Linked DNA regions of Notamacropus eugenii. The protein of the gene in region 1 purifies or fractionates together with the protein of each later gene. This does not show direct contact. Links are inferred from orthologs where the notes say so. Each region holds a gene or a part of one and is shown on either strand. Other genes may lie near its edges.

What was found.
Region 2: the proteins of CXXC1 (region 1) and BOD1 purify together in Homo sapiens (affinity purification with mass spectrometry; 4 studies listed by BioGRID and IntAct, counting the BioPlex papers as one, with this or other methods). This does not show direct contact. The link is inferred for Notamacropus eugenii from reciprocal best matches to the Homo sapiens genes CXXC1 and BOD1.
Region 3: the proteins of CXXC1 (region 1) and WDR82 purify together in Homo sapiens (affinity purification with western blotting; 7 studies listed by BioGRID and IntAct, with this or other methods). This does not show direct contact. The link is inferred for Notamacropus eugenii from reciprocal best matches to the Homo sapiens genes CXXC1 and WDR82.
Region 4: the proteins of CXXC1 (region 1) and SETD1B purify together in Homo sapiens (affinity purification with mass spectrometry; 11 studies listed by BioGRID and IntAct, counting the BioPlex papers as one, with this or other methods). This does not show direct contact. The link is inferred for Notamacropus eugenii from reciprocal best matches to the Homo sapiens genes CXXC1 and SETD1B.

Annotation. Positions count from the first base shown.
Region 1 is NC_092879.1:101,929,953-101,936,790, reverse strand, and holds the start of CXXC1 (CXXC-type zinc finger protein 1), read right to left. Parts: upstream 3,013-6,838; 5' UTR 2,920-3,012; coding exon 2,812-2,919; intron 2,675-2,811; exon of another isoform or gene 2,467-2,674; intron 2,455-2,466; exon of another isoform or gene 2,348-2,454; intron 2,185-2,347; coding exon 2,063-2,184; intron 1,750-2,062; coding exon 1,649-1,749; intron 1,546-1,648; coding exon 1,310-1,545; intron 1,079-1,309; coding exon 920-1,078; intron 815-919; coding exon 767-814; intron 424-766; coding exon 268-423; intron 1-267. Other genes in the region: synaptonemal complex central element protein 1-like, read right to left, coding at 6,222-6,317, 6,451-6,568. UniProt on the Homo sapiens protein: Transcriptional activator that exhibits a unique DNA binding specificity for CpG unmethylated motifs with a preference for CpGG.
Region 2 is NC_092872.1:405,794,173-405,801,368, reverse strand, and holds the start of BOD1 (biorientation of chromosomes in cell division protein 1), read left to right. Parts: upstream 1-4,179; 5' UTR 4,180-4,352; coding exon 4,353-4,601; intron 4,602-7,196. UniProt on the Homo sapiens protein: Required for proper chromosome biorientation through the detection or correction of syntelic attachments in mitotic spindles.
Region 3 is NC_092872.1:2,352,183-2,359,127, reverse strand, and holds the start of WDR82 (WD repeat-containing protein 82), read right to left. Parts: upstream 3,024-6,945; 5' UTR 2,646-3,023; coding exon 2,485-2,645; intron 1,185-2,484; coding exon 1,087-1,184; intron 1-1,086. UniProt on the Homo sapiens protein: Regulatory component of the SET1/COMPASS complex implicated in the tethering of this complex to transcriptional start sites of active genes.
Region 4 is NC_092875.1:37,038,784-37,045,869, reverse strand, and holds the start of SETD1B (histone-lysine N-methyltransferase SETD1B), read right to left. Parts: upstream 3,015-7,086; 5' UTR 2,890-3,014; coding exon 2,814-2,889; intron 2,475-2,813; coding exon 2,305-2,474; intron 1,891-2,304; coding exon 1,795-1,890; intron 1,097-1,794; coding exon 826-1,096; intron 1-825. UniProt on the Homo sapiens protein: Histone methyltransferase that catalyzes methyl group transfer from S-adenosyl-L-methionine to the epsilon-amino group of 'Lys-4' of histone H3 (H3K4) via a non-processive mechanism.

The DNA.
Region 1 (6,838 bases):
ATTGAGAGTTGGAATAGACCTTGGAGGCTGTAGAAATCCAATCTTATTACTTGCCCCAGGTGAAATAACTTGCCTAAAGATCCCAAGACTTCCGACCCACATGCTTACACCCCAAATCTAGCACCCAGTCCGTATTTCATGCTACCTCATGCTGGAGAAGACACTCCAAGGTTCTAAGCAGAGAAAACAGATAAAGGACCTACGTGAAGGGGCTTTCCAGAGGCCCAGTCTAATCTGCACAAGAAGGAACAGGGCCCAGCCCCTCACCAAAGTATGGTCATCGAAGGCGCCAGCACAGAAGTCCTGATAGAGCTCAGGGTCCAGAGGCAGATCCTCATCAGAGAGGGCTTCAGGGGTGGCCACGGCCTCTGGGGGCTCCTTTAACATCTGGAAATGTTCTTCCCGTGCCCGAAGAAGTTTCTGCTATGGAGGAAGCAGCGGGTGCTGTAGGTGGGCAGCCCAGGAGATTGCAGAACCAGGAGGCAATCCCTTAGATCAATGCTCTTAATGGGAGGGAAGGGAGGCCCAGAGAGGGGAAAGGGCCTGAGCTGCCTGATCCTTGCCTGGGGCTCCTTCTAATATACTGTGGGGAAGAGGGAAGTGAACAGGGGATACAGAATGGTCTGCAGGAATTAGCAATTCTAGCAACTGCCCCCTAAATGGGCCAAGCTGCCCCTCCCCCAACATGGTTCCTGGACTTGGGGTTATTGGAAGGGCAGTACCCCAAAGAAGAGGAATGTTTTCCAGTCCTAACCCCAACACTCACCACAGCTGATGCCAGACTCACCGAGGAAGGGAAATACTTATAGGATTCCTAGAAAAAGAGAAAAGAGAAGCGTGCGGGAGGTAAAGGGGAGGTGTGGGTTAGGTGGGGGTCAGCTAGGCCCAAACCTTCTAGAGCCACCTTGTGCTCTCTCACCCGGGCTCGGAGCTGGCATTGCCGTAGACGGCACTTCTGGCGGATTTTGTTGGGGCCCCCAAACTTCTTCATGTCACGGCAGAAGTCACAGTGACCACAGTCCTCTGTCCGTCGGCAGGCCTCACACTCCCCACACATGCGGGCTGACCGTTTGATCTGCTGTTGGGGGGAATACAGTAGGGGAGGACAGAACATGGGGGAGAGACACTCCTAGGATTAGCACTGTTCTAAGAAGATCTTTTATCATCATAAATGCCCTACAATAAAGAAGGATATACCATAAAACCCTGGGACCCCATATTCTTTTCCAACTCAAAGTTCCCTCCTCCTGGTATAAGCCCTAGATTTTACAACTCTATTTCCAAGTGTCAAACTTCTCTCCAAGCTCACCTGGTTGGATACCTCTCGTCCAGGCCCAGGGGCTGAGGGAGGTGGGGCCTTGTGGGGAGAGGTGAAGCCCTTGGGGATGGTCATGGGCCCACTTCCCACAGTCTCTACAAGGAGATCTGAGGCAACCTTCCTCTTTGGGGTGGTCGCGTCGTCCCTGGGCTCAGTCTCGGGTTCCCCATCACGCTCACGGCATGGTTTTTTATGCCGGTATCGGATCTCCAGCTTTGGGTCTTTTTCTGTCCGGGAAATGGGCATAGATTGAGGGATCCCTCTGTTGCTAGCCAAGATTCCCCCTAAATGGGCCCCCATAACCCCCAGGCTCCACCCCCCAAGACTCACCCCGGCACTGCAGGCAGTACCACTCCCGGATGGCCTTTGCCATCTTCTCTGTGATCTTGATGCAGTCACCATGGAACCACTCATTGCAACTGTCACAGCCACTGCACAAGGGACAGAAGCAAAGAATCTGAGATGTGTGTGAGGCTTGGAAAGCTAGGGGCCCCTTTCCAGTGCATTCAGCTACAAGGCTTCTCTGGAAGTTAAGTCTGACACATGGGAACCTGAGACCTGCTCTCTGAAGGAGGATCTCCATAAATGCTCCTCTTTTCCCCAGTGCAAAAGCTCTTTTGGGGAGCCGAGCCCTGCGGTCCTGCTTGGAGGAGCCCTCCTGATGGCCAATCAAACCTGACTCCTCCTCCAGAGAGCTCCCCAGACTGAGCCCACCCACCTACACCCTACAACGGGTGTTCTCACATCATGAAGCAGTTGATATCGGGCTTCCGGCAAACACAGTAAATGGGCGCATTCTCCCCGATGTCCGACTTAGATTCTTCCCCGCCGGTGGCCCCAGGCTCTGGGTCTGAAAACTCACTCTCCTGTAAGGTCACAAAAGCAGAGGGAATCCCTCAGTCTTCTTGCCCCCGCCCACTTCCCAGACCCCTCCCCTCCTCCCTTCTCCTCCATGCCCCGCCCAGGCTCGGCCCTGACTCAGTCTTCCCTCCTCAGTTCGGTCTTTTCCTCTAGGTCTCACGTTCCCACCTCGTCCCGAACCCCGAGCCAGGTCTACAATTTTTCTCCGGAAATCTCTTCCCCGCCCCCGCCTCCTCAGCCCTGGAGTCCGCCCGGGGTGACCTTAGACCTTCCCCTTCCGCCTCCACCTTCGGGCGGCTTGAACTGCTTCCCAGTCACTGCCCCTCCCTTCCTTCTCCTCCAGGGAGGCCTCCAGGCCCTCCGTTCCTAAACTCCACGACCTTCCGGGAGGCCTCTCCTAGCCTCTTTGCTGGGGGGCGATCGCAGGACCTGGGCTGCTGCGGGCGGCGGCCATGGTTGCTGCGCCCCCCCCCCCCCCCCCCCCCGCCAAGTCCCTCCTTCCCTGCCCGCCCCGCCCCTCTCCGCGGATGTCCCCCCAGACTGAGGAATGCCCCCGCCCCTTCCGTGCTCCCCGGGGTGCCCCTCCTCCCCGGACGGCGCCCAAAGCCACCCAAGTGGGGCCCCCCAGCCACCTCGTCCTGCAGGAAGGCCCCCGGGCTCGTCCCGGACCCGCTCAGCCTCCTCCCCCGGGCTGCCCCCCGGGATTGCCCCGGGCCGGCTCCGCCCCTCGTTCTCACCATGGCGGCGCCGGGATTTCGAGACTCCTTCGAGACAACAACGGGAGCCTCTCCGAGCGAGAGTTGTCCTCGGACCCACTTCCGCTTCCGGTTCTTTCAGCCCTCCGAGGCCTCGTAGCCGTGCGTGCGCAGGCTCAATGCTGCCTTGCCTCGGCGGCCCGGAGGCGCGCAGGCGCACTGCCTAGGAACTGCTGGGCGGAGGGAGGCCCGCCCGGGCCAAGGTTCCGGGTTCTGGGAGGTGAAGGGAGCATGACGGCGGCCGGGCTAGGACGCAGGCGCGTTGGCGGCCTTGGGCCCCGGGGGGGGGAGTGGGGGTGGGGGAAGCTTGGGTTGGCTTTTTGCCTTCCTGGAGCTTTTCCGGCTCTTGGGGCCGTGATCCCGCCACCCAACCCGCCCCTGCCCTTTCCCGAGCGCACGAAGTTCTTGAGGCCCAAGTGCCACCAAAGGGAAGTGAGCAGTGAAAGTGAAAGACGTTACCAGCTACGCCCCAAGAGCCCGACCTGATGGGCAAGTGGGCAGGAAGGGCAGCCCGAACGACCTTCGTGGGCCTCTAGATCAGCCCATGCTATTGCTTTTGCTCTATCATGTCCAACTCTTCGTGACCCCATTGGGGGTTTTCATGGCAAAGATACTGCAGTCATTTGCCATTTCCTTCTCCAGCTCATTTTACAGATGCCGAAACTGAGGCCGACAGGGCCAAATGACTCGTCCAGTGTCACACAGCCAGTAAGTAGGTGTCTGAGGTCTTCCTGACTGCAGAGCCACCTGCAGCGCCACCTAACTTGCCACACTGATCTCTTCTTGATCAGCCATTACATGAACAAAAATCCCTTCCGCCACCAGCCTCTGAGAACCCCTAAGGAAAGGGTACTACCTAAAGCATCGGGTTCCACTTTTACAGGGACTGCTACGAGAGCTCTACTCCTGACATTGAGAGACAAACCAAGCAAAAGTACAGCAGGAGGCAAGGCCAAGACAAAAACAGGATAGAGAAGAGCCCACAGCTGGGCTTATGCCTAGAGGGCATCAGGAGGAGGAGTACCTAGCAAAGTGCACAAGGGAGATTGAAGAGATTCACGTGCTGGAATCAGGTTTGTGTTTTGTTCCCTACACAGTGAGGAATCACTAATGCCATGGACATACCTAAGAATCAGGAGGCTGATTTTGGCAGCTATTTGAAGGAAGAAGAGACTGGAAGCAGTGACAGCACTTTAGAAGCAATTCCAATGGTTTGGGTGAGAGGTAGCCAGTCAGTGAACATTGATTAAGCACCTACTATGTGCCAAGCACCCTTCTAATTGCTGGGAAGACAAAGAAAGAAAAAAGAGAAGACAGGAGATGATGGCCTCTCTTTTTCACAGATGGGTGGTCAGCAGCAAGTGGGAAGCTGACTGAATGTTCTCAGGTGATGAAGAATATATTGATTTTCCCCACACCATGCTTTTGGAAGGGCCTACTAAGGTAAGTGGGGCTTCTCTTCATGGATCCCCCCACACTTAGCCTCTTCTTCAGTCCTGGGGTTTTCTTGAGGTATAGACACCCTTCTCTCTCAGCTTCCATTTCCCTCACAGATGCAGGCATGCTGTTTTCTGTTCCTTTTAAGATTCCTCTTGCCTTGGGGACTTGTCTTCAAGCTCTGGCTCCTGCTCCCCTCTCCTTGTCCCCAACTTCTGTTCCCTTCCTCAGACCTAGGCACACATCTCCTCCTCATGCTCTGCTGAGCCTCTGTTCACTCCCTTGTCTAGGCTACGCTCTTGTGCTGTGGAATGTGCAACTTGAGATGAACGCTCTGAGGGGAATGCTCTGAAACAGCCACCACTGCGTTGCCATCAAAAACTTCCTTAACAAGTGGGATAAGTGGGCCAGTGGCCATGCCAGGGAAACCTGGTTTAACATCCAGGCCCCTTGGGAATGGAGGGGAAACAGGGTGAGTTAAAATGAGGAAATAGGCTTCTGATCTCATCCAAGATAGGAGAAAACTTAGGCCCAGGAAGGAGACTTAACTTGCTAAGGTTATGACAGAGCCAGGATTAGAATTTAGATCGAACTTCCAGTCCACTCAATCAGTTAGAATTCATTAGTGGGATTTCAGTCCCAGTATAATCCCACTACACCATAGGAGAGGAAGATTTAGAGCTAAGCTGGGGGAGAGGGTTGTCTAGAAATTGGAATTTAGGGCTTCTGAGCCTTCCCTCCCATCCCACTGATTTCCAGATGGGCATCACTTCCAGTCAGATCCAGTGGACAACTGATGTTACCAAGTTCCTGCAGATACCTAAAGAGCGCTTTGACAAGAAAGTCCTCAAGGTCATGAGAAAGAAGTAGGCAGGGAACTCTCCAAGCACAGAGTGGACTTGGAGAGAAAATTGAGGAATTGACAATTGGGACTGGCATTAGAGAAGAGTTTGGCAGTTTGATTAGTGGATAGAATGCTGATGGAAAATCAGGATGGACTGGGATTGTGTTTGATAGTGAAATAAAAAGTCAGATGATAAAAAATTAGGGTTATTGAGGTTGAATTTATGATCAGAGTTAGAAACAGAGGAAGGCAAAGTTGCTATATAGGGTACAAGATGCAGTAAGGAAGCAAACGGTGCTACTTTTTAATATTGCTTTTCATAATGTCATAATGTATAATTATTTATTTTGTGTTGCATATGTCTTGTATGATAAGAGCTACAAGATTACCTTGGTAGACAGGAACATATAAAGGGGTGTCATTTTCTTTTAAAAATATATATGTATGCATATAGATATATTACTATATATGGATATGGATATCCTTTATTTTCACATTATCCAGACTTCCGAGGGGTGTATTTTCAAACTTTGCCTGGATATACCAGTTCTTTGTCCTGGGGTCTTGAGCAAGGTCAGAGTTAAGAGGAGGCCATAGCCCCACTACAGGAGGAAAAGAGTGGGAAGACTAGACCAGAGCTCTGGGTCCAAGTGTGAGACACTGTAAAATAGGATGAGTCCAGACCTGGCATATAGGAGGCATGGACCAAGGAGGCTCCAGAGATACTACAGAACTATATAGATCTGGGAGATGGGGGCCCACAGAGTGCTCAAACCCCACCTAAGAAGAAAAGGAAGTCATTAGGACAAGATGGGGGATGGGGGATGGGGGATAGAAATACAGCCAGAGAAAGGGAACAGAACAGAGTTCTTTATTCCAAAGAGTATACCAGACGGTCCCCCATGGTTGAGATGGGGCCAAAGGACCAAACACTGTCTCTCCAAGCTAGGTTCAGACCAGGCTGCAGCTCCCTCCTGGTGCAAATGGGTGAACTCCCTGTGAGGTTCTAGGACAAGACTGAGGCTTGCCCAGTAGGATGTTTCCCTGGGCTGTGGTCAATATTCAGTTCCTTCTCCCAGGCTGTTGGGGGCTCTACAACAGGCTAAAGACCAAAAAAGTGGCTAAGGATCTCCTTGGAACAAAGTTCTAGTAACATCCTTATGCATGGCTGTCTCCCTTCCTTTCTCTTTTCCAGGCTACTGAGTAACCAATGCTGGCGACTCTGGGGTCCTTACCTCCGCTAGGGCCCCCTCTGCAACTACACCACTGACGACTTCAGAAGCTCCCGCAGTGGGGCTCCCCCTGGGCCCTGTGATACCACCTTGACCACCAGCTTCCAGCTCCATCTTCAGCCTGGCAGGGGAAATGTTAGAAAGCTGTAGGTCAGGGTGGGAAGGACCTTAGGAGGCTGGGCCAGAGAGAGACCCAAACACACACAAACGCACACACATGCAGAAACACTAACACAAAAAGACATACATAGGCACAGAGGCTGAGCCAGAGAAAGACAGCAAAACACAGAGACCAAGTCTGAGAGATAAGACAGAGACATGCAGACCCCAAAGGAGAGACATGCATCCACACAGAGGGAGAGTGGAGGGGGCACAAACAAAACCCATGTCA
Region 2 (7,196 bases), on another chromosome or scaffold:
GTTATTGATTGTAAGAATGTGAGCCTAAAAAACTTGAGTACGCTAAGATCTTGGGCTAAGACCAAATGTATTTCAACCATAATAGCTCTAATTGATTCTTTTAAAAATAGAAAAGCACTACAGGAAGACATTTTGTGTAAGAGATACTCAGGCATGATTGTAGAGAAGGACAGCGTGATTTGTTGGACAAGAGATTGGGCTGGAAATTAGAAGGCTTGTGTTAAATCTCAGCTCTGGTTTTTAATTAGACTTTATATAGATCTTGGTTCTGGAGGTAGCCAGGTGGTACAGTGCCTAGAATTCAAATCCAACCACTTACTAGCTGTGTGACCCTGGGCAAGTCATTTAACATCTCTGTGCCTCACTTTCTTGATTTATAAAATGAGGGTAATAATAGCACCTCCAAGGGTGGTTGGGAGGATAAAATTACTTGGAAAATACTTTACAAACCTTAAAGTGCTATGTAAATGCTACATATTATTATCAGCTATGTAATTTGGGACATGTCTCTTAAACTCTCTGGACTTCTGTGCTTTACTAAGTAACCTGAGATCTTTCACAACAAAGTTTTAACCACATCCTGGCAGTCTATAGTCTTCATGGGTAATTGGAGTCAGGAAAACCTGGATTCAAGTTCGGCCCCTAACAAGCCATAGCTGAAGAACCTTGGGCGAGGCTCTTCGAGCCACAGGCAACTCTTCACAATGAAGTGCTAATCTTCATTTGTATGGGTACTGAAATTGATCAATAAGCATTTACTAAGAGCCTACTATGTGCCAGGCACTGGATTAAGCACCTGACACTCCCTCTACCTGTGAAATCACAGTCTGGTAAACAACAACAAAAACCAGAGGCGGAGGATTCTGGGGTTTTTTGGTTTTTTAACTGTTTGGGTTCATGGCAAATGAAAACACTAAACCAGGAGAAACCGTGTCTGATTTTTAACACAATAGTGTCACCTGGTGGTTTGTTTCCTGCATTACATTTTTACTATGTTAACTTTGAGTACCTATGGGCTTCTACTTTTTGAGGTCCTGAGTGTGTGCCAAGGCTTGGATCAACCTCCATTCTCATTTCTGTCAGTACCTGGGAGGTTGTATTCTGCATATAGAACACAACTATTCTCACAGTTCCATCAGCTCAGCACTGGGAAAGGACAATGGATTTGGAGTCAGGAGACCTGGGTTTGAATTCCAGCACTACTGCTTACTAGTTACATAACCTTGGGTAAATCCCTTTCACTCTGATGGACCACAGAGGTAGAACCCCCTTAGGTCACTGAGTCCAACCCACCTATTTTATGCATGAGGAAGCTGAGACTGAGAGAGATAAATTCTCTTGCCAAGGTCACACAAGTAGAGTCAAATCTAGGTCTTCTGACTTTAAATCTAGCACTCCTTCTACAGATGCTCTCTGCACTTCAATTTACTCACCTATAAAATGAGGGGATCTTTCAACCCCAACTGGTCTGAAAATCCCAGGATCCAATGACCTAGTCTCCCCCTCCAGTATCAGAGGGTATTTAATGAAATTGACAGCTCTCATTATGGACAGTGTCACTTGAATTCATACAATTGTTATGTCATCAAGGCTTAATGTTCCATCTCCTCTCAGGGCTGACTTAGATACTCCCCCAGCATCCCTGATTTCACTGGTATGGACCTTCATTACCTCCACTGATGTAGAATACAGTTCTTCCACACTTTGGTCTGGTCAAAAACAATTCATCCTCTTTCTGCATTTAGTCAGGCTAGTTTTTAGCTGACAGGCAGTTTGTTCCTAGCCCAAAGCTTCTCTGGATCTCTAGCCTTGTCAGAATTTACAGTCTGTTAGCACAGCCTTTGAGAACTCTGAGTTTCCTCTATAGGGAAGAATTTAGTGAAAATGACTAGAATTATTGTTTTTTCTTTTCCCTTCCCCTGGGGCCACACAACTGGAGGGTGTGATTGAGCACCAAGGATAAAGAGAATAAATATCCCTACCTCCATATGTTTGTGTGTTTATGGGTGTATACATACATCTATATATGCATATACATACATTATATGTACATGTGTATATGGCATATATAATTTATATAATATATAAACACATATTGAACTTATAACATTATGATATATTATATGCACATGTGCATGCAATGTATATGTATGTATCCACACATACACCTATAACATGTACACATATGTATTCATAGGATTATGAAATTTAAAGTTGAAAGGAACTTTTAAGATTTTGTTGTTGTTCAGTCATATCCAATTCATGACCCCATTTGGGGTTTTCTTGGCAGAGATACTGGAGTAGTTTGCCATTCCTTTTGCTCATTTTATGAGATGAGGAAACTGAGGCAAGCAGGGTTAAGTGACTTGCCCACGGTCACACTGCTAGGAAGTGTCTGAGGTCACATTTGAACTCAGGAAGATAGTCTTCTTGACTCCAGGTCTGGTGCTCTATCCACTGCACCACCTAGCTGCCCCAACTCAATGAAAACCTCCTTATTTGGGAATGGGAAATTAAAACCAGAGAAGAAAAACCCAAATACAGGAGTCAGAACTTGGACTCCAGTCTTCTTATTCTAGGGCCAGTGAGTTTTCCACTACACCAGTCTACCATCATAGCAACTTAAGAAATGGAAAAGAACATAGAGGTTGTTTCTACCTCCCAACCCATATAGGAATCCTCTGTACAGTGTCTCTCTTAGGCAGTAATCAGATAGGGAGGGAATTCTTATCTCTGAAAGCAGCACATCCCATTGTTAAACTGATTAAAAAGAAAGTTCTTATGGAACCTTATGATTTAGAGCTAGAAGGGAACTTAGCTATCATCTCAGAGTCCACCCCTCATTTTACAGATGAGGAAACTAAAGAGAAGTTGAATAATTTGCTCAAGGTTGCACAGATAATAATTTAGCAGTCAGGATTAAAATTCAGGTCTTCGGACACTATGTCCATTGCTGGTTCTACTACAATTTGGCTTGAGGAGCAAAAGGGAGGCAAATTATGAGGTTCCTGCCCATACCTGACCTGTGAGGAGATAGGGGCGGCCCATTGGAATTCCTAAATAGAAGTTCAGGTGGTGATCACAGAGAGATGGTAGTAGAGTGCTACAACAGTGGCTATCATACTGCTGTTATTGTTGGTCAGTCATTTTTCGGTCATGTTTGACTCCTCATGATCCCAGTTGAGTTTTTCTTGGCAAAGATACTTGGCAAAGGGGTTAGCCCTTTCCTTCTCCAGCTCATTTTACAGATGAAGAAACTGAGGCAATAAGGATTAAATGACTCATCCAGGGTCACACAGGTTAGTCAGATTTGAACTCAGGGAAGTGAATCTTCCTGACTTTGGGCCTGCCACTCTATCTATTTCACCACCTAGCTACCCTGGTCATAGTACTATGGATGGTCACTTCTGAAGTTAGAAGACTTTGGTTCAAATCACATCTGTGTGACCATGGGCAAGTCTTCTCTGGTCTCTCAGCTTCTTTATCTGTAAGAGGAGAGCTGGACTATATGGGTCATGAAGTAACATGTGTAAAGCACTTTGCAAGCTTAAAGTATATATCTATATATTACATATACAATGTAGGATATAATTATATGTAATATGTATTATAATAATAAAAGCTAGTGCGTATCTATACACACACATACATATACACACACTAGCTTTTATTATTATTGTGCTGACTCATGAATCCATGAACCATAGTGCTCATGCATGGGGTTTTCTTGGCAAAGATACTGGAGTTGTCTGTCATTTCTTTCTCCAGGCAAACAGGGTTAAGTGACTTGCCCAAGGTCACGGCTAGTATGTGGTCTGAGGTCTTCCTGACTTCAGGCCCAGCGCTCTCTCCACTGAGCCACCTAGCTGCCCCTAGCTATTTTATTAGATGGCCTCTAACGTTCCTTCTAGCTCTAAATTTACGAATCTGGGATTTGGCACCATCGTTTGCTAACCTGGGATAGAATTCTCAAGCACAAGCGAAGAAAGGCCTTAGAACTACAATTCCCTGTTCGACCATGGGAAGGCGCGATTTCTGTGACTCTTCCCTGGTGCCGCCATTCCCTCATGGGAGTTGTAGTTTACGCAGGCGGAGGTTTTTCCCATATTCAGGCGAGTCCTCCCCACGCAAGGACTCCCAGCCCCAGAAAGCATAGTGACCGTGGTGTGCTCAGCGTGAAACTTGAGACACGTGATTCACGTTCGTGGCGGCAGCGGAGGCCGAGGTTCCAGCGGGATCCGCCGCCTTGTTTCAAGGCTGCCTGGCCGAGGCCCAGGCCGGGGCCGTGAGTGGCCGCCCCCTCAGGCCCCGGGCGAGAACCGCCGGCGGGGCCCTGGGCCGAGGGTGTGGCCATGGCGGACAGCGGCGGAGGGAGCGCGGGGGCTAGCGCGGGCGGCGGCGGGGGGGGCGGGGCCGGCGGCTCCGGCCAGGCCTCGGCGGCTTCGGCCTCGGGCTCGGGGGGCGCAGGGGCCGGCGTCACCAACCCCGCGTCGCTGCCTCCCGGGGACTCCCAGCTCATCGCGCTCATAGTGGAGCAGCTCAAGAGCCGCGGCCTGTTCGACGGCTTCCGCAGGGACTGCCTCGCCGACGTGGACACCAAGGTAGCGGCGGCCGAGAAGCCCGGCGTTCAGACCCCTGCCCCCTGTGCCATTTCACCTCCTCGGGCCTCGCTTTTCTCAGCTGTAGAATGGGGAAGAGAATGGCCGTAGGACCTCCCGGGTCACTGTTGTCGTATGAAAATGGGCCTAGCAGTGTCCGGTATTACTGTTCCCTGCATCCCCTCGGGGCCTCACGTTCCTGCTGTGTGTGTAAAACGACGGGGTAACCCTTTCTTTCACATCGTATATTCAAAAACACGATCCCGAGAATGGGTCCATAGGCATCAACACGTAGGTCCATGACGAAAAAATAATTTTAAAAAAAAGGTAACTCTTGGAATAAAAAATCTCTGAACATCTCTAGCAACTCAATCTGCATCTATCGTTTCCAGCTCTAATTCTTAGGTGGCTGCTGTAATCTCTTTTAGCTTTAACCCCTATGTAACCTCCCAGCAGCAGAACCTCCTGGTCTGGGGTGGGGGGGCATTTGTACCCACAGTGTTTCCTTGCTGGGTCGACGATGTTTAAGCAGAATGATATTTTTCATCGGTAAGTCTGGGGGAAAAAAAGTCTGTAGCTCTTGATTCGTCAATTTCCATTTCATTAACAGATTAAACATTAAGCGCTGCTACATGTTTGGCAGGGGGAGTTTTTGTATCAGAACAAAACTTGATACAAAGTTTCTATTGACTAAAAATCTGCTAAGTCTATTGAAGTTACTTTCAACATGTATGCAGAAAAGTTGAGTGTAAATTACATAAAAAGTAAATTAAGGATGTCGGCACCCGCTACTGTGAGTGTAACAGGATCAGCCTTGTGGAGCACTTGAACTTTGAAGAAAATGGAAGTGAAGGAGTATGCCCCCGTATGGGATACAGCCTGTGTACAATGGTGAAGTTGGGAGATTGAATGTGTACAGAATAGCAAAATAGGCCAGTTGGCCTACAGAGTAGAGTGTGTGAAAATTATGTGTAATAAACTTGAAAAAACCAGTAGAGGGCTTTACCTACCAAATGACGGAATTTATATTTTATCCTAGAGATAAGGAGGTGCTGGAATTTGTTTAGTGAGAGAATAACATGGCCATTTTATCCTATAAGAAAATCTGTTTGGCCTCTGTGTGGAGGATAAACTGGAGAGAGGAGAGACTGGAAACAGGAAGACCAAAGGGCTATTGAAATAGTCCAGGAGAGAGTTATTGAGAGCCCAAACTAGGATTGTGGCTCTATAAGTAGAGGTAGGGTGGTAAATGTGATGTATAGGTGATGTAAAATTGGCAGGATGGCCACTGATTTGGATAATAAGGGGAGAGGGAGGAATTTTGAGTGACTGAGATTTCAAACCTGGGTACCTAGAAGAATGGTGGTATCCTCATGAGAAATAAAGCTCAGAAGAGGTGAGATTTTAGCAGAGCAGATAAGTTCTTTCTTGGACAAGTTGGATTTAAGATGACTATAAAACACCCAGTTGGGGATGCCCTAGTTGCAGTTGGTTATATAGAACTGAAGCTCAAAGGAAAAATTGAGTCTGGGTATCTAAATCTGGGAGTCATCAACCTTTCTGTGGCCTTTGATGCTGTTGATGACCCTCTTAATGTTCTCTTCACATTTTTGAGACAGTGCTCTCTCCTGGATCTTTGGTCTGAATGCTCCTCCATCCCACTTACTGGATCTTCATCAAAGCCATACCTACTAACCCCTAAGGCTCTGTCCTGGGCCCTTTTCTCCATCTATACTATTTAACTTGGTGATCTCATCAGCTCCTGAAGTTTTAGTTAACTCTGTGTGGATAATGCTCAGATCTTCTTGTCTAGCTCTTACTTTTCCATGACCCCATTCTTGAGTCACTGACTGCCTGTTGGACTTCTTAAACCAAGTGTCCTGTAGACATCTTGAACTCAATATGTCCAAATATGATGAACTCATTATTTTTCCTCCCAAATTTCCCCCATCTTCCTAACTTAACTATTATTGTCACCACCTAGGGCACCACCATCCACTTAGCCAACCCAGATTTGCAACCTAGGTGTCATACTCAACTCCTTACTCACAGTTATACCCCCTCTCCCCCATTCAATTAGCTGTCAAGTCCTATCATTTCTGCTTTTGGAATAGCTATATTATGCCTCCCTTCTCTCCTCAGACTCCGTAACCTCCTTCCTGTTCTTCAAAGCAGATACTTTATCGCCTAGCTCTTAGTGTTATCAGTGGCTATTCTGCATTCCTGGAACTCTTGCCCTCTTCATTTCTACCTCCTAGCTTCTCTGGCTTCCTTCAAGAGAAGCCTTTCCCAGTTTTCCTTAGTCTTCTGAGATTACCAGTTATACAATTTTTCTTGCATATCATCTTATTTGTAGATAGCTATTCGCATGTTGTCTCTGTGAGTTCCCTGGGAGTAAGAGCTGTTTTTTTGCCTTTCTTGGCACATAACAGGCTCTTAATAAATACTTGTTGACTGACTGACCTTCATTTTGGGGAAGGGCCCACACCATCTATTCCTTATTCTCTCGTTTTCACCACTGTGACTGACTTATGTTCTCCCTTTGTGCCTGTAGATCCCTTCTCCCAGTGATGATTTTTTTCCTGGAATCTCCATTTT
Region 3 (6,945 bases), on another chromosome or scaffold:
GGAAGACCGTCCTCATGCTCTGCTACAAACCATTGTTGGTGGCAGCGCTCTGTCCCTGGCAAGGCAGTGGCCTGTACAGTTATCTCCTGTACCGGGTGGTATCATAGACCCTCAAACTGTACAAACTACTACCTCAGCCTGGAATCAGGCAGAAGGAAACGGGTTGAGGCTGGAGCTCTTCATGAAGAACAGGGGGGAATTAGGGTGACAAGAAAGGCAGCATCCTTAAAGTACAGAACCAGCAAGGTATCTTCTTTAACTTGGAGCCTAGATAAGAAGTTTTACGCCCATGTCTCCTCATTGCATATAAGGAGGATTTTCAAATCAGGAGAAAAAAAAGCCCAAGAGGAAAAACTTCCAACTTTTTTTAGCTTGCAATCAACATATTTGCTGTGAAGTGAATCCTAGTTATTAGCTCCACCGCACTGGCTACACTATTTACGTATTTAGAAGACTACCGTAGATCACTAGATCAATTTATATACAGAAAAGTCTCCTAAAAATGACACTCCCACCCCCTCAGGAGGAAGCAGATTTACAGGTATGACTAAGACAGCAATTTCACCAACTCTCATTCAGTGACGCGCTGGAGCTAACCAGCAGACTGGCTAGAAGCAGAAATAGTTAGGACGACCAAATACTAGTCGGTCATTGTAATGGGGAAAACCTACACGAAGTGAGAAAGCTGAACTGAGACCAGCCTGCCCGTTACAGAAAACCCTCAGAAGCTTCATCATCAGTTAAGACAAACCGCCCAATCCCAGAGGACTCGAGTCTACAGCTTCAACTGCGATCAAACAGGATCAAATTCAGGCACAATTTAAGTCCCCCTAAGAAAAAGGACACGGCGCCAAGAAAGGCCCAGCCGTCCTTCCGACGGAAGTTCCCCCACGTTAAGGACACGGTGGCAGGCACACCAAGCGCCGTTACCGCGTGCGCATCAACTGCCCTGGACGCGCCCTCTCCCGCCTGCCCTGGGCGTCAGGCAGCTCCTCATCCCGTCTGAAATGACCCTATCTCGGACTCCTCCGGTCCGGGCCTCTCTGACCCACTTCACGCGAGGACCCGCCGCAGGCGCTCACTCACCGTCTATCTTGTTGGAGCTGTACACGACGGTGTTGGCCGCGTGCGTGTAGCGGATGAGGTCCACCCCGTACTTCTTACTGTACAGCGTCCTCTTGGGCCTGCGGAGACACGGAGGGAAGAGCCCCGGGACGGGACGTCACGCGCGGCCGGCTCGGCGGGAGGGCGGGGAGGGGGCGCGGCCCAAACAAGCCTGCCCGGCGACGCCACCCGAGCCCCGAGCCAGCAGGCCCCGCAGCTCCCTCCTTTCAGGGGGCGCGGCCCCTCGGCCCGCCCCTTACCCAGGTTTCGGGGTGTCAGCACCGCACGCTGACACCGGCCCGGTGACCCGGCCGGGCGGATGGCTCCTCAGCACGCCGGCTCCGGGGCTCCGGGGCTCCAGGCTCGGTTCCGCCCCGAGTCCGGCCCGCTGAGCCTGACCAAGGGGGGCACGCCCGGAGGTCCGGCCCACACTTCCGAGAGGCGGCACCGGCCGGGTCGGGCTGGGACCCCGGGGAGCCCGAGGGGCCGCGGCAGCCTGACACGCGTGGGAGCGGCGCTCTCCGCGCCCGGCCGGACCGGGCTGAGGGCTGGCTTCCCGCGCGGGTCCCGGCCCCCACGACACCAGCCCCGCGTGGGCCCCGGGACGCCCACTCTGGGCATCACAGCGTCTTCAGATCAGGAATTCGGGGTCCTGCAGCGTCCAGGGGGGAGCCTAGGGGGAGCGGGGCTGCCCCCCAACCCCGCCCCGGGGGCGCCCCTCTCGGACACAGCTCCTGAGCCTCGCGGGGGGCACCGCGGGGGGGGGGGGGCCTCTGCCCTGCGGGGACGTGTCAGACCCACGTCTCGGGACAAAGCCGTCCTTCGCGCCTCGGTTCCGGGGAGCCCAGACCCCTTCCCCGGGCTCCACAGAGGAGACGCGGCTGCTACAGGGCGGAAACCCGCGGGGAAAGTTTAAATTCCACGCCGAGCCCCAGACGCCCACGGGCGGCAGAGAAGCCCCGGGGTTCACTCGAGGTCACGGGCCGGGGCACGGGTGGCCGGCGGGCGGGCGTCTGCCCCTGCCCAGAAGGCGCCCAGAAGTCACGGCCTCGCTCCCACAAACGCAAGCGGGAGAGCTCGGACCCGGGGCCGTCCCGCACGGGGCCGTCCCGCACGGGGAGCGCCCCGTCCTCCCCGCGCTCCCCACGCGCCGCTCCTCGCTCGGGGGCCGCCAACAGGGGCCGCAGGACGGGTGACCTTGGCCCGGTCCCTCGCCCCGCGCCCCCCCCTCTACCCCGGGACGCGCGGCTCTTTTGTTCCCTCTCCCGCACTTGGGGCCCTCCCCGTGGGAGCGGGTGGGCCGAAGCGCGCGTGTCCGCGCCGCACGCCGGGGGCCGCGCGCGGGAGGGGAGGGCAGGGCGGGGGGGAGGCCGCACTCACTTGCCCTCCTGGCAGTCGTACAGCACGATGGAGTCGTCGTCGCTGCTCGAGATGACCGTCTCGCCGTTGGGGCTGAAGTCGAAGCAGTTGATCTTGTCCGAGTTCTCCCGGAACACCTTGGCCACGCGGAAGCTCCGCAGCACGATGTCCGTCAGCTTCATGGCGCCGGGGCCCGGGGCGGGGAGCCGGGGCGGCGGCGGGAGGGCGGCCGCGAGGGCCGGGGCAGGCCGGGGCGGGGCCCCGGGGAGGCGCGGCGGCGTCCGGGCACACGGGCCGGCCGGCTCGCTGTCCGCTCCTCGGCTCGCTCCTCGGCGTCCGCGGCGTCGTCCCTCGGCCTGGGCCGCGAGGCTGCTTCTCCGGGCTCCTCAGGGCAAGCCGGCGCGGCTCCGGCTCATTGTGTCCGCCATCTTGGGGCGAGAGGCAGAAGCAGGGGGCGCGGGGGCGCGGAACCAGCGCCGCCGGCGTAGTGCACTGTGGGAAAGGAATCAGGCAGGGGGAGGGCTCGCGCGGGCGGGGGGCGGCGGGGAGAGCAGGGGGAACCGATGCGCCGCGGCGCCTGCCGGGATCGTCGAAGGGCGGGGGCGGGGCGGTGACGTCACCGTCCCGGGAGCCGACTTCCGTGGGGCCTCGGTGTCGGTCTCGGGTAGGCCCGCCCCCTAGCGCCGCGGGAGGGGGGGAGGGGAGGAGGGGAGGGGGGGAGGGGGGGAGGGGAGGAGATGCCCTCCCGGGGGCTCCTCCTCCCAGCCCTGGGTGCCCACTGAAGGGATGGGGCCCAAGGGCCAGCTCCGGCTGCCTGCCCCTCCCCCCGCTGTGCCAAGGGCCCCGCGCACGTGGGTGAAATCGGTTTTCTAGGATTTCCTACACGCTTGGCATTCCTGCAAAGGGCTATGGGAGGGTTGTTTATTGCTGCCCCGAAGGACTATGGGAAATTGCCTTCTCCAAGCAGAACAATGAAGGAACCCCTGCCCCTCTTGGGGAGGAATTGCCCCGCCGGCCTGTTCCTTGTATTTACCTCCTAATTCCGTCCCCTCGGCCACGGCGTGCCTCAGGGGGCTGGGAAGCAAGGCGTGCCGGGTAATTCTTCCGCTCAGTGAAGTGACTTACCCAAGGTCAGCTGGCGGAGCGCCACGGCGTGCCAGGCCCCCTGCTGGGCACACACACGCGCGCGCGCACACTCTCTCTCTCTCTCTCTCTCTCTCTCTCTCTCTCTCTCTCTCTCTCTCTCTCTCTCTCTCTCTCTCTCTCTCTCTCTCTCTCTCTCTCTCTCTCTCTCTCTGAAGCGGGCGCTAGAGAGGGGGCTTTGCCAGGTCAGCTGGGCAGGGAGTGGCACAAGCCGGACCCCAGGAGCTTCTTATTGGCATGTTCTGTGCCCCAGGCCCTGCCCCATTCCAGAGAGCCGTGCCTTATGACAAATAGTACTTTCACATGGGGGGAAAGCACCCCTGATCAGTACAGTGGAGCAGTCTAAGAAAAGCGGGGTGCTAACGCTCGGGCCGCCCGCCGCCATGGGAGGTGGGGGCGGGGGAGGGGCCTTCTCCCGTGTCCCGTGTGCCCTTGTTTCTTTGCATGTGTTGTTTCCTTTCCATAACTGCCGGGACCGTGCGTGTTGTTGTCCTGGCTCTGCTTCCCTGCCCCCGTCGGCGTAGACGGCTCTGCTGGGGCTTCTTACCGGGCAGTGCTGTGCCCTTGGTGACCACAAGAAGGGCTGCGTGTCCTGGGGTGTGGGGGCTCGTTCTTCCTGACGGCCCCTTGGGGTGCCCTCAGCGAGGGAGCCTCTGGTTCCCCGGGCACAGGTGTCTGTGCCAGCCACGTGTCAGTGTGCCTGACATCCGTCCTGGGCACTCGTGTCTGTCTGTACAGCCTCAGGCTGTCTGGCATCCACTCCTCTTAGTGCCAGTGGTCTGGAGCATTGGCATGTGGCTGTAAACGTTCTGCATCCTTCTGAGAGCCGCTGGTGCCCTTTGTCACTTACCCACTGAGACACAGCCTTTAGCCTTAGGGAGAGGTATTGATCGCTTAGGTGTCTTGGACGCTGAACCCTTATCGGAGAAATTGGGATAGAAGGTTTTCCCCTGGTAGGATCACCTCCCTTCTCACCCTCCCACAGTAACGCCATTTAGAAGCTTTTCAGCTATCTGTCTTATCCTTTATGATGACTTACAAACTTTATGTATGTAGTGAAAGTCATAAATTATGTATTATTTATTTATACATACTTAGATTTATAATCTCCTCTCCCTCTGGGTGATCAGGGCCGCATCTCTCAGCCCTGGAAGTCCTTTGCTCTTCACCTGGCATCCTGTTGCTTCTCCTAGGGCACTGCAGTCTCAGCAAGGCCTCTGACAAAGTCTGCCACCCATCAGTAGGTCAGGGTCTTCCTGCAGGAAGGTTGATGGCAGTGTGCCCGCAGAAACGCGTCCTTGGCCGCATTCTGGTTAACGTTTTTATCAGTCTAGAGATACAATTTGTTCAGTGCAACATTGATACAAACCTGTCATTTGGATACATGCATGCGTAAGTATCCAAAGTAATCTCAACGGTTCTCAGCAATGGCCAAGCAGATACAAACTGGATTTAACAAGGACAAATAGAAAGTTCATTATCGTAGGATCATAGCTTAAAGCTGGAAGGGACATGAGAAGTAATATAGCCCAGTTCCCTTAGTTCATAGAGGAAGAAACTGAGGCATAGGGATTTGCTCAGTCACCTAGGTAGTAGTTGGCAGAGCTAGGATTCAATCTCAGTTCTGTAGCTAACAGCGAATGCTATCTCAGGCTATAGTAAGAGATGGAGAGTTTTCAGAATGAGCCGGTGAATGGGACTACGTACTCTTCCTATCTAACCACATCTGGACTTCTGGATTACACTCTTCAGTTGTGGGCATAATATTTTAGGAAAGACATAGACGAGGTGAAACTCTTTCAGAGCAGGGCAGTCAAGATGATGAAGGAACAGGAGAGCATGCCATATAAAGTTTGACTGAAGGGATTGTTTAACCTGGAGAAGGGAAAACTGGGGGGGGGTACTAGGGGAATAACTCTTCAAGTATTTAAAGAAGCTTCATATGGAAAAAGGATCAGAGTTTTTTCTGTCTGGTCAATTTTGTGTCCATGTGCAAGTATGATAAGCATATAGGCATATAATGCCTTAATCGAAATTATTCTCTGTTAAATAACCCAGAATCAAACACAAGTCCCTGGAGTACTCTCCTGGAAACTTCCTTCCACATTGACATCAAACCATTAATAAGTCCAGCCGTTCTTTAAAGGATCTTAAATGCCAGAAAGAGGAGTATGTATCTTATCCTAGAGGCAACAGAAAGTCACTTACTTCCCGAGTAAGGGGATGGTGTGGTCAGACCTGTACTTTATAAATAACGATTTGGCAATATACTCCCCTGTGGAGGACAGATTGGAGAGGGGAGAGACTGCAGACAGGGAAGGCATGTATAAACTATTACAAAATCCAGTTGGGAGGTGATGAGCACCTGCATTACGGTGTTGTTCATGGACAGGAAAGGATGGATGTAAAAGGCAGAATGAATGAGACTGGGAAACTGAGGAGATAAGGCATGAGAGTACAGTGCACAGGATGACTAAAAGATTATCAAGCTAAGTGGCCATGGAAATTAAGAGAAAGGGAAAGGATATGCTGCAAAAACATAAATACTGTTCGGATGTGGGAGGCAGGGGGGAAGGAACAGCTGATGATTAATTCAATGTTTTGAGTGTGGGTGACTAGGAGGATGGATAGTAGCACCATTAAGAGAAATAGGGAAACGGGGAAGATGTTGACTTCAGTTTGGGACTTTTTGAATTTAAGGTGCAGAGAGGAGTTGGAAATGTCCTTTGGGCAATTAGATCTACAGGACCAGAGCGGAAAGAGCTTATGGCTGAAAGCATATGTTGAAAGAGTCCTTGGAAGTAATTGAGATCTTTGTGAGAGTGTATTATAAAGGGAAAGGAGGGCTTCAGCTGAAGTCTTGGTGAATACACACACTTAGTAAATTGGAGGAGGACAGTGAACTAGTGCTAGTGAAAGAGATAGAGGAGCAGCCAAAAGAGAAAGAGGAAAACCAGAAGAGGAGAACTCTGATACCTTCTGATAGAAGAACTCTGGTATCTTTACTTTGTCGGGTGTAATAGAAAGGATATATTTTAAAGGTCTGTTTCCAAAGGGAAAGAGGGAAAGTTGAGCATTAAGAAACAAAGCTAAAAACTGATGAGAGAGAAATCTCTAAAGTTTCTGGTTTGAAAATTATTGAGGTAAAATGTGCAATAATATGTAATGCCTTGAATCGACTGGACCCTTAGCAGATAAATGGTTGTTGGATATGCTTCCCTCTTAAGGAATTCTTATACTTTATCGTTAGCTTTTTACCTTCTTAGCTTTTACCTTTAGCTACTAAAATTTCACTATTAAGGCCAAGAAAGTCATAATTTCTTGAAGCTATAAACCATG
Region 4 (7,086 bases), on another chromosome or scaffold:
GAGAATAGCCATCAGTATCCAGGAGAAAGAATGGGGGCAAACAAGCAACTCATATCCCCCGCCCCCAGTTTGTCCTCTTTCCTGTTTTTAGAGGCAAACAGCACAGGCATGTTTTTTTTTTTTTTCACACCGTGGAGGGATTCCTGCAGAGAGGAAGTGCCGCTATCCCTTTAAGAGGGAGTGAGGAAAGAAACACACAGTTGTCAACTCCTGTGCAGGATTGTGAAGCAGCTCGGCTTCATCATTCACTATTTATCAATGAAATAGCTGCCCCCGTTGGCTACCGGGAGATGGGATAGTTTGGTGCCCTTTCCAGGAGAGACCACGAATTCATTCCATCACTTTATTTACAGAAGGCCCCCTTAGTCACTCCCAGCACGTAAAATCATCCCCATATCAAAAGAGACAAACACCCCAGTAAACAAAAGGGGGCCACCATAGCACAGGGGACCATTTGAAACCAAGACACAAAGGTTGGGGGGGGGGGCCTACGGAGGGGAGGCCCTGAGGGAACAGGGTAAATCCAACTGGGGCTAATTTTCTGAGTGGTCCCGGTGGGGGGGGGGGGTGGCCAAGGACTGGAGCATTTTGTAAATTACAGCTTGTCTCCTAGCAACAGACAACACATCGGGCTCCACGTGATTCTGGGGGGGGACAAAAAAGGGGAGGTTTCAGAGGGGAAAAAATTGAGCTCCAACCCCACATTCCCTAAGTGAGAAGAGGGGAAAGGGGAGGCAGTTTGAGGACAGCTGAACGATCTAGATGAGCTGCTTCTGGCTAGTCCCACCCCTCACCTCTCCCCCAGCCCCTTCGGGACCTACCCACCTTTAGTATCCAGCTCCACGTGAATGATGTTGCCCATGACCGAGGTGTTGTGTAAATGCTGCACAGCCTCTCGAGCCCCCTTTACGGTGGCAAAGACCACCTTGGCAATGCCCAAATGTTTCTTGTTCTTGGGGTTGTAAAGGATCTCCACTTCCTCCACCTCCCCATATTTCTTGCACATGTCGGTCAGGAAGTTTTCCCTGATGTTGTCATTCAGTTTGGCAAAAGTCACCTGCTTGGGAGGCACCGGTCCCACATAGAACTCATCGATCTGGGGGAGGGAGGGTGAAATTTGAGGGAAGAAGGGGTAATCGAGATTGGAAAAAAAATTAAAATTCAAGAGGAAGGCTGATCCGGGCAAGCGTCATGCCGCCACAGTGGCCCCCTGTCCCAAACCTTAAGGAGTTAGAAAATAAATAAATATATATGCATATTTTTTTTAAATGCACGCGGGCGGGGACAGAAAGCTGAGGATTAAATCGTTTGGAACGTGGAAGTCCTCGAGTTCGGAAGGAAAGGGGGGATATGAAACAGTTTCTCTCTCCTTCCCCTCCCCCTGCTTCCCTGACGTATGCCCCCTCCCCTGCTCAGGGGCCTTCTCCCCTTTAAATCGAAAGGAAGGGCAGCCCTGAGGGGGGAGTGTTCCCCGGTGCCAGTGACACCCCCTACCTCAAGAGCTGAACCCCCCCATGTCTCTGGAAACACACCCCCTTCCAGGCCAGTGGGACAAAGTATCCACAGCCTCCCTCCCTCCCTCCGGAGTCTAAAATCTGGATGGTTGTTGCAATGTTGACATCAGAAGCCGGGCTGCTCTAAACACCAGTTTGGCCCCCCCCCCCACTACTCCTCATACACACACACACAGACAGGCGGGAACCGGGGCCATGTCCTTCCCAACGGTATTTTAGAACTCGGGGTAATTCCCCCCCATAAGTCCCAAGTTCCCTGGCTAGGGAGAGGGGTCACTACCTTGAATTTGGGGACACGAAGTTCCAACTCCTTGGTTTTTGTCCATGTCCTTCTGACTCTCGGATCCTCGATTTTCACCGAGAGAAAACACTGAGTCTGGGGTGGGGGGGAGAGAAAGAAAAAATAGAGTTCTGAGATTGAAGGGGGGTGGGGATGGGAACACACAACTCCAGGGAAATGTGGATAGAGGAAGCAGCCCCTTCCCCTCCATGCTCCCTCCTTCCCCATGTGTCAAAAGTCAGGCGCTGAAAGAAAGGGGGGGGGGGGGGACGACAAACCCGGCCAGACCTGAAGGAGGTGGGCTGGGAACCTGACAGTTGAGCCCTGTCTGGGGGGTTGGGGGGGGAAGCTACCGAGGGTTCCCCCCTGACGTTTCCCATCGAAAGGGGAGGGGGGAGGTCCCGGCAGATCCTCTTGGTCTTTGGGCCCTGGAAGAAGCAGGAGGAAGAAAGGGGGTGCTATGTACGTTTCAGCAAGCAAGGAAGGAAAGACACCCCCCGCTCCACTCACAGCCTTGCTGAAATGCTGTCCATCGTAACGGTAGAGCTTATGCTGTCCCTTCTTTAGCTCGGGGTCAATAATCAACTTGTAACTTCTCCAATGGTGGTTTCTCTTTTCCCCCGACGGTCCAGGCTGCTGGTGGTGGTGGTGGCTACTGCTCTCCATGCCGTTAACCCAACCTGAAAAACGACCCACACCAAGTTGTGTCTCCTCCGCAGCGGCTTTCAAAAATTAAAAAAGAAAATAGCCCCCCCCCCCGCCAGCCTCCACCCTCCTCCCACCCGAGCCTTCCCCGTTTCCAAAAAACCGGGTGATTATTTTTGTGAAAACGAGAGCGGAGCAGCCAACCCGCCGCCCGCCCGCCCGCCAGGCAGCCAGCCGGCCAGCCACCAGGCTGCCCGCTGCCCCCTTGCCCGGGCGGACGGGAGCGATCCCGGGCTGGGGAGCAGGCAGTGGCGGCGGCGGCGGCCCGAGATGAGCGGCGGTGGCGGCGGCCGGGGCAGGAGGGGGGAGCTCACTTGAACTCTGCTTTTTGCCATGATCTTCGGCGTGGCTGCTCCCTCGCCCCCCGGCCCGGATCCCTCGGAAGGCCATGGTGCCGCTGGGGCTCGGGGCTGGGGGGTCGCGGGCCGCCGCCGCCACCAGCCCGCTCCCGCTCCTCCTCCTCCCAGCCACCCCCCCAGCCTGGCTCCGCCGCGGCCTCCGCTGGCCTCTCCCGGGGAGGGGGGAGGGAGAGAAGGAGGGAAGGGGAGGGGAGGGGAAGGAGGGAGGGGAGAGGAAGGGGGGAGGGGGAACTAGGGAGCCCCTGCTTACATCCCCGCCGGGCGCCGGCCTCCCTGCGCGACCAGCCTGTACATGGTGTTCCCCGCGGGAGCCGAGGCTGGGGCGGCCGGACCGGGGGCTAGCTGAGGCGGCTGCTGCTGCTGCGGCGGCGGCGGCGGCGGCGGCGGCGGCGGCGGCTGCTGCTGCTGCCGCTGCTGGAGGAGGCGGCTGGCGGCAGCGGCTCGGCTCCCAGTCCCCGCACATCCCACAATACACCGCTATGGAGCCCGACCCAATCTCTCACCCTCCTCCTCCTTCCTCCTCCTCCTCCTCCTCCTCCACCACTCTCCTCTCCCCCTGGCGCTCGCAGCAGCTGCGCTGCAACACCCCCCCCCCAGCCAAGGCCACCCCCCAACCTACTCTCCCCCAGCCTGGGGCGGAGGCCCTAGGGCCTGGGCTGGGGGGTGAGGGGAGGCCCTGGGGACGGGCTTTTAATTAATGCATTTTATTATCTCTGGAGGAGGACCGGGATTTTGACTGGGAGGGAGGATTTGGGAAAGGGGGAGGGGGTTCCCTTCCTCCTCCCTCTCCAGAAATCGGTTTCCCCCGGGCCCACAGTGTCCGGGCTGCCAGCGTTTACCTTCGGCTTCCTACACTGTTTTAGAAACAAGATGGACTGGAGGTGGGACCGCCTGACTTTGGGGGGGGGGGGTGTATGTGTATGTGTGTGTTTAAAGTCGAGGGAGGAGTGGGGGAGCCTCGGCGCGGGATCCCCTAGAGCTGCGATCGAGGGATCCCCCTTCCTCTCCTTGGTCTCCCTCTCCGTCCTCCTTGTCTGCCCCTGCACCCCCAGCAACCTCGGAGCAGAGACCAGGATTTCCAAATTAGCGTTACGCTGCAATCACCGGGCTTTGCTGGAAGGATGCAGAACGGCCTCGGCGTGCTTTTCTTTCCTTCTCTCTTCTCCCCCTCCCCCTTTTGGAAGAAGGACTTTTTTCTCCCACCCCCGCTTTTTCTTTGGCATTTGTCGGGGGCACGTCAAATCTATTCCTACCCCCCCCCCCCCGCCCATACTTTCCCCAAACTCTAGTGAGTCCCTTTCTACATTCATTTTTTTTTCTTTATTAAAGGTCCTGGGACCGGCGGCGACCAATCAGCGGGCAGCTTCCATTTGGTCGCTTCTACCCCAAAGCACCCTGTGCTTCTCGGTTACACTATTACAGGGGAGGTGGGGGAGGGAGCAATGGGTATTTTTTTTTCCCCCTTCCCCTCCTTCCTTCCTTGCTCTCTCCCTGCCTCCTCCTGGCTGAAGAGGAGGTTGCCTGTCTTGCTTCAGCTTCACTGTGGTTCGTCTCATATTGGGGGGTATTTTGGGGGTTTGTAATTGGGCCGGGGTGCGGTAATTGGCTGATTCAGGGCGCCAGGGCCCTTGGGCCAATCAGCGCGAAGCTTCTATGGGGCTTGAGTTATTAGACGCGGATCTCCAAACATCCGTCATCAGACAAGCCAAGGAGAGGCCAACATTCAGGGAGCCATTTTTCTGCCATGGAATTAAATGGCCAAGTGGGTTTTCCTTTGTTCCAAAAGGGGGAACGCTTTTCCTTTGACTCCACCATCCAGTGCAGGATTGTCCCGTGTTTTGTCCAATGTTGGTCACCAATGCTAAAGGACCGATGGAAGAAGGAAGACTTCATTTTTTAAAATGATTTTGGATTTTGCTTTTTTCTCTTTATGACCTGGAATCCATCTTTGTCTTGTATAACTAGGTCATAGCCCACCATTAATGTCAGCAGTTTAAAAATTTTGAATCCAAAAAACCTTAAGTAAATAACATATTTATTTACTTTTTTCCTTTTTTTTTTTTTGGCTGGGGGCGTGGGGACGGGGCTTGAGCTGTCTAATCTGTATCCTCTTGACTGAACAATAAATTTTTTAAAATATATATATATAACTTCCTCTATTAAACACTTATACCTGGCCATCTTATTAACTCCTCTCCTTCTCTCTTAACAAGGTAATGTTTTAAATGTAGAGTTTTAGGAAATAATGACTTCTGGCAGTATTAAGCCAAAAAATGTAAACCATTATGCTATGTTCTTTTAAATTCTTCTCTGTTGTAAGTACCCAATCCATTCTGTCCTTATTTCAGTTCAGTGTTCATGTTAATGTTACCTAAATGTCCTAATTTCTGAGCCTTCATCTCTGCATGTCTGTTTTTGTCTTCTTGTCGAATTTCACAACCAAATCTCATGCCTTTAGACGATGAGAGATAGCTTTAGGTTTTAAGAAATGTTTTCTCTACAGTAAATGCTAGCTAGCTTCATTCCCAATTAGTTGGTCGATTTTCTTTAAGCAACCTCTGTTTTGAGGGCGACAGCTCTGGTTTCTCCAGTCTTGGGGGTGGGGGGGAGGGAAGAGAGAAGAAAGCCCCACTCTTCTGCAGAGACTGAACTGGTCACAGGAAACTAGACTGAAACCCCTTCAAAGAAGCCCTAAGCAGTGGCTGGCAAACGGCATTATTAAACTGGGCAGTCTTTGCTTTAGTTGTTGGGGTGACCGGGGTGCGAAGTGGCTAACTCTCCTTTGTCTCCTGTTTTGTTTGAAGCGTCTGTTTTTTTACCTTTTGTCTCTGAAATGACTCTTAATACCCTTGCCCTAACCAGCCCTGCCGGCGAAGCCAGCAAGCCTTTGGCCGAACCCTGGGAAAAGTTTGCTGAATTCGAAGGCGATGAAATGACATGACACTGTAATTGACAAAAAGGTAGTGACCTTCTTTCTCCCCCCCCATAATAATAATCAAACAAACTCCAACAAAATGGTGGGTTTTTTTTCTTACTAATAACATCACCAAACCAACGCCCAAGTTCACCTTCCAGACTCCATTGCGCCAAGCTGAGCACCGGTAAGTAAAAACGTGCCTTTTAAAAGCCCTTGGATCCACACCGGCTAGAGCAGGCCCCGCTGCAGAGTTCATAGAGCCGAGGGTTTCCTGCCTGGGTTTCCAAGCTTGTCGGTTGTAGTTGGCGAGGAGGGGCAGACAATATGGACAGTGGAGAGAGGCTAGATAGAGACACTTTGGGATGGGAGGGATGCAGCTGGGGCTGGGGGTCTTCCTACCAAAAGGACTTGGTGCATTTCTCTTTGGGACTGAGGGGATGTTTAGGGTGACTCCTTTCCTGCCTTCGGAGGGACAGCAGCCTCTCTGCAACCTCCACACCCTTGACCACCCCCGTTGCTGGTGAGGTGAAGGGGTGGGCTCCTCGGCCGCTCTTCTCCATCACCCACCCAGGTTTCTCCCCATTGTAATCCACGATGTGGCAGTTTGAGGAAAACCAAGGAAAACTGGTTTGGGTTGGGTTTTAATCCGACCCTCCAGGGGGGCTCAGTTTGCCAAATTTAGGGGCTTTCCCTCCCGCTGGAAGCTCTTGGGGGGGGGGGGGAACCTTCTTCGATCCTCCTCCCACCCTTCCTGGCCGGGGCAGCCCGGACCCCGGGCCGCCTCGGGCAGCGCAGGGAAGGACCAGGGGCACGGCGTCCATTTTGGCGCCATGACGCAGCAGTCCTTCTTTCCCGGGCTGCTGCAGTCCTGCCTGGTTGTTCTCTCCCCCAGCTCGTTTCCTCCTCCCTCTCTCCCATCCCGCTGCGTTCCGAGAGCGCGCCCAGGGTGGGGCGGGCGGGCTAGGGCCGGGGTTTCTGGGCAGGGGGACGCCTGGCCCGGCCGAGCTGGCCCGAGCTAGGCTGGGTTGGGCTGCTTGCTAATGGCCGCTTCGAGCTTGCTCTCTTTCTCTCTCTTCCTCTCCTGTTGCAGCTGCGAGTCCTGGAGCAGGAGGTGGCTTCGCTGAGCTGCAGGGCCTGTCCACGCATGCCTTGGCTCTGGGTAAATCCTACTTTGGGGCTCAGTTGGAGTGGGCTTAGGGTTGGGGGTTGTTTTTTTGTGTGTGGTTGTTTTTTCTCCTTCCTTTCTTTCTTTTTGCATAGGTCTAGGTTTTAGATGCTTTTATCTTCTCCCGAACACCAGCTTGCAGGGTC